Drosophila melanogaster: one gene and its partner. The protein of the gene in region 2 interacts with the protein of the main gene of each other region in a pairwise test. Each region holds a gene or a part of one and is shown on either strand. Other genes may lie near its edges.

Region 1 (6,908 bases), on a different chromosome or scaffold from region 2:
AAGCAGCGCTCTAATCGGCTAATTTCGGAAACTTCAAACTATACATGTAGATAGTGCTGACACTTTTTTTTTACATAGCTAGAAAAAACACAAAGGCAGTTGAAGGTTCGCAGAAGAATGTAATGAGGCACTATTATTTACAATAAGTATCAATTTCAAATACGAGTTTTTTCTCAGATACTTTAATGGAACTTCCACCAGTTTGCCTTATATTGCGTTAGAATGAAGTTCATATTTTTCTGTATTGTAGCTGTAATTTTAGTGGCATCTGTGAAGTCCATGGTTTTTGTGAAGATACTGCACAATGAGAGTAATGCGTTGAGAAAACTTTATATGTAAGAATAATAAAGTCTCATTAAAACGCTTTGGTAGAGTACCCCGGCCAGTGTTACCCCATCCATGTTCGAGTGGGTAAAAAGAAGCAATACGATGTTTTTGCCCTACAACCCGGCGAGGAAGTCAGTGATCCAAACACTTGCGGCGTGCAGGTTTGCATGAACTCCGAAGGACTTACTCATGTCTACTAGTAAGATCGATCCAATTTGAAATGATATACCCTAATGCATATGATATCCAAGCTATTTTCCAGCTGTCCTCGCACTTTGCCGAGCAGTGGCTGCCAGGACGATAAGGCCATGGACTTGTTGCTAAAATTTCCGGAATGCTGTTGGACTTGTGCCACCAGTAGGGACTGCGATGAAGACCAGTCCTTTCCTTCTTATCCTTATCCTCCCGAAATACGTGATGATCAACCAGAATAATCAATCTGCCACAAAAAACTTAGATTTTCCGAAATGTAGAAACCATATATTATTCTGAGTTATTTTGAAAAAATACAAATGCAAAGAAAAAGTTTAGTACTCTAGCAGTATTTGCTCTTGAAGTCATAGTCATCCTCCGATCCGGTGGCCAGTAGCTCCTCCTTGCAGCCATGGTGCAGTCGATGCACATCCGTGTCGAAGCACTCATCGTGGAGTCGTTTGTCCCGGCTTTTACTTCGCTGCCGCCTGGAATGCGATGAGTGACCGTGTCCGTGTCCATGTCCGTGGTGATTGTGCACATGGCTGCTGGAACCATGATGATGCTCAGACGGTGGTGAGTGATGGCTGCTGCCTGAATGGATGGTCGCCTTATGGTGGAAGGAAGTTGGCGGAGGACTGAGCTCCCTTGGCGGGCGACAGTGGCTGGATGGCGGTATGGGATCATCGAACCGAGGACACGGATGATCTCCAACTGGCGAAGCTGTCTCATAGCGTTTCGAAAGCATTGTGAACTCCTGATGTGCCGAGCACAGGGCCTGCAGGCGATGCAGAAGATCCGTTTCCGGCAGGTCGCGAAGATGCAGTGTCCTGGCCACCGATGTGCGGAAGGATTGCAAATGCGAAAGCCGCTGATTGGCATCCGAGAGTTGGGAGCTCAAGCGACTGACATCATCGCGCATAGACTAAAAATTTCAAGAAAGATTTAGTATGTGAATTTTTACATAAACTATACTTTTATTTACATTTATTAGCGCCTCATCGCGGCATCTGCGATTCTGATTGGATTCACAGGAGGACTTGAGGCGCTCCTTCAGGGCATTAAGTTGGGAGAGCAGGCGCGTCTTCTCATCCTCCAGATCGCATATCTGTGTGGTCAGCTCATCGATCTTTCTGGCCCTCTCCAACGAGGTGATCTTATACTCCACAGCCTCGGCTAGCTGGGCCTTGACCTCTGCTATCTGAGATCGGGCATCGGCCAGCTGGGCACTCAACTTGTCCACCTGCTTGGCCGCCTTCTTGGCCCGGCAAACCGCCTCATCCCGTTCACCCTGCAACATGCACTTTCCTCGCGCACCGTCCTCTATGATGGCCAGCTTGCGACGCAGTAGCTCCAGGTGGAGATCCCGTCGCTGCACTTGCTCCCTGAGAACTCGAACACGTCGCTGCAGGTTGTAGACACTGCTGCTTTCCTTGAGGGGAATGTCATGACAGGATCTCTCGCGGCGAAGTTTCCCATGACCATGTCCGTGATCACAGCAACCCTTATCCGGACTGTGATGATGATGATGATGATGAGGTGCCTCGTGGTCGCAGTGAGCGGCGAGTCTCTCGGCTCTCTCAAGCAAGTTCTCCGCCATTAGATTGGTATCAGTTCCAAGAGCCGGAGGGGCAGAGCACTCACCCCAGTTCATCGCGAGGGCCAGTCGCTGCAGGAACTCCGATAGACCCATGTGATCCTTTCGAAGAGTATGGATCTCGGCATGGCACTTCTCCAAGCGCTCAGTTAGCTCACATTTCTGAGCCTCGCCAGAACGGAGGCGACATTCGGTGGTCTGTTGGGTTTCCTTAAGCTTCTCATGCTCCGAGTTCAGCTGATCTCGCAGAGAGTGCATTTGCTAGAGGGTATACAAATTGGTTTATTGTTTAAATGAATTATGAATTAATAAGTTCGATTACCGCATGCATGGCCTGGTTCTCCGCCAGAATCTCTCTCAGCTTGTCCTTGATGAGCGTTTCGCACGGTTCGGGAACATTCAAGAGATTGCTCAATCCCCGCAAGAACTGCAGACGATCGCCCTGAGTCCGGTCCAGGTTGTTTTGCAAACGATGGCATCGCGACTCAAAGCCGCGCAGCTCTTCCTTGAGCTTCTCGCCGTTGATTTCCGATTCAGTCAAGCGATCTCTTTGGATCTGAAGATCCCTTTCGTATTGGCGACAGCGTCCTTCCAACTCGTGGTTGTGATTGCCAGCTCCATCAAGTTGGGCCGTGAGCCGCTGCTTCTCAATGTTGGCCAGCGACTTCAAGTTGAGCAGTTCATTTTCGCAGGAGCTGAGCGTGTCGCAGGTGGAACTGACCTTGGCTTTCGTCCTTTGCAGCTCCACCATCACCTCCTCGGCCCGCGAGATGATGCACTCGGGTGTGGCATGGGAATTCTGATTGCCATCGCACACATCCATTCCCAAAGTGATGCTAAGGCGTCGCAGGAGATCGTGCAGCTGAGCCTTGATCTGCTCCTTTTGCGATTCCTCACTGGCCATATGCGTTTCCAGATGCTGTATCTTGCAGATTAGCTCTTTGTTGCGCTCGTCGGAGCTACGCTTCTCCCGCTGCACCGTCTGAATGGTGGAATCACATCGGGCCTGGACAGCCTGCTCCCTGCTCTCCGAGTTTTGCAGACGACTCTGGAGGGATCCGATGAGGGCAGTCTGCCGAGCAGCCTGGGCTCGCAGATTCTCGATATCCGCATCTTTGCTGCACAATGCTGCACGCGCTTCAGCAAGCTAGGATAAGTGTAAGTATATGTATATCCTTTGCATTACTTGATTCTATAATAAATTGATTCTTTTATTTACCTCCCCCGTAAGTCGCTCCTTTTTGTAGGACAACGCAGCCAGTTCACTGCGCAGTGTGGTGGTCAAGTCGAGACCATGATGATGTTCTGTCACAGTGATTCCCGTATTGCTGCAGGATGTGTCCAGCTGGATAATCGCATTTAAATTTGGAGAACACACAAAAGGTTTTGATTTGCGGAGTTATTAATTAATTACATATAAATTTATCTAATTTCCTAGTTTAGAAAACATTTTCAAAAAATGTATACTTTCTACATTCTTGAATATATTGGCTCTATTAAATAAATGTACCATTTTCACATTTTCCTGTTATTAAAGTTATATTTATACAATTTAAGATAAAATGGTTTTGAACCATTCAGACTTTCATTATTTTTTGTAAATTTTAATTGTACTTTTAATTATAATATGTAATTTTTAACTGTGATGGCATTAACATTGTCCCAATGCCCACCAAGTGATGATGATGCGGAGATAATCCACCAGTGTGTCCCAAGTGATGGTGATGCAGATGATTTTCACTGGGCATATTTAGAGCCACGAATATTTAAAGCACTCCAAGAACCAAGTCAACTGTTCCCAGTAAAAGCCGTCGAAGAACTGAACTTTGGTTCGGGAATAACCACTTTCGGAAGCCTAACAACCTCCACCTAACAACTGAGGGGAGTCCGATGCATGGCACCGAGGAATTTACCCCAACATAACATCACACAGTGCTCAAATTTATGCTCCAAGTGAAAACGAGCTCAATGGCAGGAGCAAGGGGCTTTGGATAGGGGGGCAGCCGTGTGGAGCTCGAAAGGTGTAGCCACGATTACACTTACACATGGGGGAAACTTTGCAGTTTGTTTGGATTATTTGGGTCATTCACATGGCGCCAAGTGGCGAAGTATCAAATGCAATATCCACAACGGACTCACGCACGCAAGTGCGGACGCCACAGGGTTTGGGGTTTTGGGTGCTCCGGGGCTAGGTGGATGGATATACGATGGAAATTTTCAACTTGGCCGGAAACGGAAAATGAGGTGTGCAACTTTTGGCCAATTGTCTGCAATTTAGGAAGGAGCAACGGCAAGACAATTGGGAACTGAAATGTGTTGAACATTCGATAAGCTTGGCCGGGTTAATTATGAAGCCAATTCAGGTTGCCTCTTTAATGAAATTGAAATGGGCGAAATGGGAAATGTTTCAAACATTTAAAAGATATTTCATTGAACTTGATTTTGGGCTTGCTCCTTAGGCTTTCACAAGTCCTCAATTCAGTAAATTAGATGCAATGGCTCCATTTTATCCTATTGTGTGTTTATGAATAGCTTTACAATCATTCATATGTATATTTTGATTATGCAGCCCCACCCACATGGCAATACGAACCACTGTATCCCCCAGACCAATCGAGTTTTATGCAAATCCCCCCACAAACATCATTAGTTCCCCTAACAACCGCATACATTTGAAACATAAAAAATAGCGAACAAAAGTCGTTATTCAATTGCGAATTCACATAAATCTATCTTGATATGATGTCTACACGCTTTTATGGCAATTTGGCGCACGATTTTGGCAAAATAGTTAAGCGACAAAAACTACTCACCTGGCAAAATGGAATGGCTGGTTGTGGCAAAGGTGACATTGTGGTCATCCGTGCGGGAATCGTTTTCGGGTCCTGATCAGCACCGAACAAGACCTCGAACACCTGCCAGTCCTCGGGTGTGTTGCCATTGGTCGTGGGTCGCGGATTAAGTGGCATTCCAATGGATTTTATCCGGATGAACTCGATCCGCCTCCGACTGGCGTTGGAAAAATTCTACTCTATGTTTTCTAAGCGTAAATAATACACCCGACCCGACCAGGCAACAAGAAGAGGCAAAGTTATGCGGCAACTTTCAGGTTGCCACGGCGCATAAAATAACTATGCATGAGGCGATACTACACTAGATGGTGAGGGTGTGGTTCCTGGTGGGTAACTACGGTGACTAAAGTGCACATAATTCGATTTTCTAAACTGCAATAGCCGTAGAGTGGTAGGAGGGGCAGTTACCCCGCAGCCGTTTGCCTGTAATTTCATTTGTCTCCGCCAAAAATAATGAATATGGTAAATGTTTGCCCTAACTTGGCGCCCACTCCCCGTCCGATGGAATAACCCCCTTAATGGCCTGATCCTTTGACAGTGACTTTGAAGGCAACAACCCTTTGGGGTTAAGTTCATGCATTTCGGGATTTTGATTATTTTGTTTGGGTTGCCAACATAAATAATAGTTGTCGAATTTTGATGAGCTCCAGCATTTCGCCTGCTTCATTTTGGATTCCTGGCGCTTATACATGGTGATTTCACTTCCGTTGCTTATTTTGCCTAGCGAAATTAAACAATTTATATTAATTTTCAATTACATATCATCTTTAAGATTAACTAATTTGTAAAGGCTTGTAAAGGGAAATATCTATATAGCCCACCTGTTTTTGTTGACGAGCTTTAGTTTGCGTTTCCATCAACTTTTTGATCTCGGCTATTTTTCGAAGGTACATTTCCTCCTGTTCCAAGCAGAGCTTGTGATCGTCCTTGACCTTCTGCAGTGCGAGCCTGGCGATCGTGCACTGCACCTCGGCGCTTTCCAGATCCCGCTCCAGCTTGACCTCCCACTCCCTATTGCGTGTCTTAAGCTTTTCCACTTCCCAGGAGTATATCATCTCCGAGCTGCGCTGCACCGTCATGTCCTGTTCCAGCTTGGTTTTCAGTTCCATTAACTCCTTCCTCAGCAGATCCTCGCGCTTACAGTTAAGCATTAGTCTCTGATCCATACAGCTGTTTACCCACTTGATATGGTAACGCATCTGTATCGGATCAGTCACTATGAAAATGTACAAAAGATACATTAAATTTTTGTAATATTTTACAACTCACAACTACTGCCCTCGAAGAGGTCTACGAGTGCAGTTCGATTGATATCCAGACTGGATACGCTGGATTCCACTGCCAGGCTACTGTTGCTCATTCCCTCCTTGATCCGGCAATTGTCCTTGAGGTCCTTAATCCAAGCACCAACCGTGTTGTACTTGCAATCTCTAAGAATATAAGTGTTTCCAATATAGAATGTTCTTCTTGATGGAAATGGGGCCAATACCGTATTAGTTGTATGCTATTTTCGCAAAGGTCGTCATCCTTTTGAAAGTCCTCTCGCATTTCGTGTAGAATTTGTTCGATCTCTTTCAGATCAGTTCGGAACTTTACGCAGTCGAGATCCTCGGAACTCCGTTCGCGATGGATCACGTCCAGGTACAACTGGTTATGTTCCAGTCGTGCCAGGAAGTGATCCAGCGACCACTTGAACAGATTGTAGGGAATCTCGTCGATCTTTCCGGGCCAAGGACTGGAAAACAGACGCAGTTGCTTCAGCAGGCGAACGGATAGGAACTCGATGGCCGCCTTCTGGCATTTGATATTCAACTCGGTCATCATGGACGAACGCAATTTAATGCTTTCTATGGCCTCCTGAACGGTCTTCCTTCCGCTCTCCCTCTTCCGCATCCTGGCCATCTGCCGCACCACCATAGCCTCTGCTCCATTTTCGACCA
Region 2 (4,439 bases):
GAACTTGGTTTGAAGGCGCCAAATGGAGAAATGGCTGATGGCGAACGGCGGCGGGTGCTGGATGTGAAGTCTGGTAAACAAGTTTTGCATAATTTCCATAAAATATTTCATAAACAACTTGAAAAATGGAAAAAAAGCTATGCTATGCAGCTGGAGACTGAGGCGAGGGAAGTCCGAAAAGAAAGCAAGGCAAACTCGGAGCGGTAATTAAAAAGTTCACAAAAGAGTCGGGCACCAGGGACTTTGGAAAATTGCTACCAAGAAGAATTCCGCCGATGACAAGGCGTAAAACTTGCCGATTGAATGCGAAATGTGGCCCGGGCAGCCGGACGGACTCCTACCCATTGCCAATTCAAATAAATTAAAAAGGAACTGCGACTCGTTGCCAAGTTTGTCACCGCAGAAAAATAATACGGAAAAAATGCTCTCTATATACATATATAATACATATATATAGAAGATAGATATTAAAATATGTAGATGTGGAAAAACAGCGCAGTGGAGGCTTGAAAGGAACCGCAAACTGCGGTCGCTGTGGCTTCTCTGGTCAGTGGTCGTTACTTTTGCACTCTTGTTGTTATTTTTGCGGTGCTTGTCCTGCCAGCACCGCATCCTGGCATCCTTGCATACTTACATCCTTTTCGCCTTGCAGAGTGCCACTGCTCATTATTGTCGGCAATGTCCAGGCATCGGAAATTGGAAAAGTTTCCTGCCTTCGTGACAATCCACACTTTCGCTCACACGTTCTATGAATATTCAATGCAGTCATAGATTATATTCAATTGATATAATGACGTAAATAATAGTTGACAGGGTCAAGTACAGGATGAATTTATTTTTAAGAGATTTATAAATAAACATCAAACGAAATGCTCGAGAGTTGCTAAATATTTACTACAATTTACAATGTTTTGCTAAACAGCAAAGCTCTCTCTCTCCCTCTCTTTGCCATTTCTGCCCCTCTTTTAACCGTTTTCTCTTTGGGACATCAGCAGGGGTGCTTTTGAAACGGTTTGGATTTATCTGAGCGGTTGAAAGTGGGGAAAAGCGATGTTTTCCATGTAACAAACAATACGGTTCAAATGAATATAACTACAACCGTGAGATTTAACTACTATCGGCAATATCCCGACGCAACCAATCGACCAAAGCATCACGGGCGCATTCCGCATCAGCATCCAGGCAGAACAACTTGCAGATGTCCTGCAGCCAGTTGCCAATGATGTAGCGCTTAATGCACGGCATTACACCCAACTCCCGAAACACTTTAAGGCAATAAATTTGCAGGCGGGGATTATCCGTCGTCGAAGTCATGAGACGACCCACATAACACGGCAGTTGGGTGAACTCCCTGCTGCGCCACAATGCCCGCTTGCTATGGAGCCCATTGAGCAGGGCCAAAGCCGTATATTCCCAGTTCTCCACCTTCTGGCGAGGCAGCAACATTCGCGGATTCTCATCGGGCTGGGCAAAGACGTCGTAAAGCAGCTTTACACCATCCACGGCATCGAAACGCCGCTGACCCTCAGCACAGCAGAGTAGCAGCGCAAATGCCTTGGTGTTCATGTCCCAGAAGTTGGACAAGCGGTTTAGGATCCTCGAGTGCAGCAGCTCGAAGAGGCCCAGCTCGATGCCCCGATCGGGTGCCACTTCCAGCATGTCACACAGGTGATGCCACAAATGCAACGGGAATTGCGGACGGCATGGATCCTGTCTGAAGATCTCGGCTAAGGCGGAAAAGTTTTCAGGATCCTCCAGGAATATACCCAGAACTAGGAAAAAATATAACACCGTTAAATCCAATGAAGTGCATGCAGAGCTCACCTTTTGGCTTGCATGTCAAATTTCGCAATATCTCTGAAGCCAATTCATCCTTAATAGGCTCTTGGTTCTTAATGATTTTATAAAACTCCACCCTTAAGCACTTGCGGTTGGCTATATTTTCGGCTCCATCCAAATTGCGGGATAGTATATCTTTAAGAAATAAAAGCTTATTCTAAGAATTCACACAACCTTCAACTTACTATAAATCCTTAGATACATCTCCACCTCCCGGTGCTCCTCCTTGTGATGCTTCAATCTCATACGCATAAAGGCATTCTTCAACCTATTGGTAGGATAGAAACTGGATGATATCAAAAAAAAAAAACTCCTCAATGCAGACAACCCACTTTCTAACAAGGTCCATTTCAATGATAGCTCTTTGGGCATTCAGTGGATTTAGAACGAATTCCGACAACGATACGACTGCCTTCCAATGGGTCAGCCTAACATCACTATCCAGTTCTTTGAGCAATTTGGGCAGTGCAAACCAGCCGTAGGCCAGTTCAGCACGATCCGCCAGGTGCGTCGAGGTCGAATTGCAGCAGAGCGGCATACACTTGCAAATATTCCGTTTCTCCATATGATGCGTCCACTCTGTAATCCATTTTTTTTATGATTATCCTTCGCTGATTATATATCGCAACTAAATTACCCGTAGTCTGCAAGCTGTTTATGGAGGTCGGCTTCATCACATCCTTGATTTCGTGTTGCAGAAAGTGATTGCGATATCTCGCTAGCTGCTCCCACATTTTGGTTTAATGGTTTGTTGTTATTATAATGAGAAAATACAATACGTGTCAAATGCCAGAACTTTTTTCAAAAATCAACTTCTATTCTACGTTTCAACTTAACATTTCTGTTAGGAAAACTATGTTTCTGTACTGTAAAGCGCCATTGCGGCTGAGAACGTAACCCAATTGGTTGGAAGCTCAACTGCGTGTTGAATATTATGAAAAGGTTCGAAGCTCGGATGCAACAGCTGTTCGTCGCCTGAAATCGATATATCGCAATTTGGTTGATATATTTCGCCGATTCAATGCCGCTGCATTTGTGAACGGACGCCGAGCGAGTTACTACCGAATATTAGATGCGGACTGCAAGCGCAGCTATACGAGAATATACCGACAGGCACGCAAAATATGCAAATACCAGGAGTGCATCTCTATTGACCGGTCAAATACTCGGCTTGGCGGATAGTGCATTTGCAGTTGCAATTTCATCAATCGCCAAATGCACTTGACTGAAAGGCTGTACAAAAAAACAAAGAGAAAAAACCCAGTGTGCGTGCGGGAATATGTAAAAAAAAAACGAGTTAAATAAATAGCTAAATAACAAGCAGAAAGCAGAACGTAAGTATCGAAAAAGCGCAGTGTTTTTGTTGTGCCGGCTGAAATAAATTCGATTGTGTGCGCGCGCGTTTGTTTGTGTGTCGGCATGTGCGTGTGAGTGAGCAGACAACAAAAGGAATTCGGCTCGCTCAACTTCTTCCTAGTTTACCGTTACTTGCACTGCCAAAATCGCAAAAAATAAGGGGAATAGGGAGATAAATAAATAAGCCGACGAATTTCGAATAGCATAAATAGTAGCTCCTGCCAAAAAAAAAAAGAAGAAAAATCAGAGAAACGTCAGTCAAATCGAAAAACAGAAATGGCCTTGATAAAACTAGCAAGGTGAGTTTTTATTCTGTTTTCTCGCTAATATTACCTATAAAGTATGTGTATAGGAATTTTCCCGTTGAAAGTTGTAGTCCACCTTCTCTTTCTTTGCTTTTCCACTTAACAAACCGCAATTAAGTTGGCCAGGGGCGGAGTTTCCACCGAAAGGGGGTTTTTCCAGCACTTGCCCACGTAAATTGATTTTCTGTGGCCCCGTCATCCTGTCGTGCTGACCTGAACTGACCCCATTTTTCATTTCCATTTTCCGACAAAAGAACAAAGTCCGCAGCCTGAAAAATCCGGCCCTGGCCTTTTTTTTTTATTGTTGCCTCTTGGTCAACAGCAAAGCGCTTGAGGCCGTGTAATAACTTTCGGGCAAATATTTATTTCCCAGCAACGAGTTGTTGATATTGAAGTTGGTCAATGCACTTTGGCGCCCCTGAAACGCACTTCAAATATCGCTAAGTGTAATCAGGGACTCGGAAAAACGATGATAACAATAATTAAGCATATTGCAGAATCGTAGATATACATACAATTATATTTATGTATTTCAATTGTATGATAATATGATATACTTAATACCAGTACATTTACATTTACAAAAATAAACATCCTTGTGCTTAGATCCAAATTAATTTCGCATGAAATATTTTCGAAATCTTCATAATACCAGTTTCGCAACCAGATTAAACTACTTTTTAGAACACACAACGAACAATCGAATCTAATTTGAACAAGATCAATTCATAAACTTAAGAACACAGCGAACGTAGGATTATGATAATCTGAATTTCAAATGAACTGCTAATAATAGGAAAACTTACGTGAGGTCTGTGCAATTAATTCTGTTATTGTCTAACAACTAACAATGTATTTGTTTACCTTCTCGATTTCGTTTGTTGACTTTTCCAGCATGTACAACAACTAAACAAACTAGCTATCTGGCTATCGAATTTC

Evidence for each region.
Region 1: the proteins of CG13501 (region 2) and CG43338 interact in a two-hybrid assay, tested with the Drosophila melanogaster proteins (one large-scale study listed by BioGRID).

Annotation. Positions count from the first base shown.
Region 1 is NT_033779.5:18,666,103-18,673,010, forward strand, and holds CG43338 (uncharacterized protein), read right to left. Parts: upstream 5,145-6,908; 5' UTR 5,086-5,144; coding exon 4,930-5,085; intron 3,942-4,929; exon of another isoform or gene 3,865-3,941; coding exon of another isoform or gene 3,790-3,864; intron 3,462-3,789; coding exon 3,336-3,461; intron 3,264-3,335; coding exon 2,439-3,263; intron 2,378-2,438; coding exon 1,505-2,377; intron 1,447-1,504; exon of another isoform or gene 1,445-1,446; coding exon 863-1,444; 3' UTR 790-862; downstream 1-789. Other genes in the region: CG43339 (uncharacterized protein), read right to left, coding at 5,680-5,688, 5,790-6,184, 6,238-6,398, 6,458-6,908.
Region 2 is NT_033778.4:22,058,088-22,062,526, forward strand, and holds CG13501 (uncharacterized protein), read right to left. Parts: upstream 2,624-4,439; 5' UTR 2,574-2,623; coding exon 2,477-2,573; intron 2,419-2,476; coding exon 2,172-2,418; intron 2,108-2,171; coding exon 2,025-2,107; intron 1,975-2,024; coding exon 1,825-1,974; intron 1,773-1,824; coding exon 1,108-1,772; 3' UTR 817-1,107; downstream 1-816. Other genes in the region: Snp (snipper), read left to right, coding at 3,472-3,494.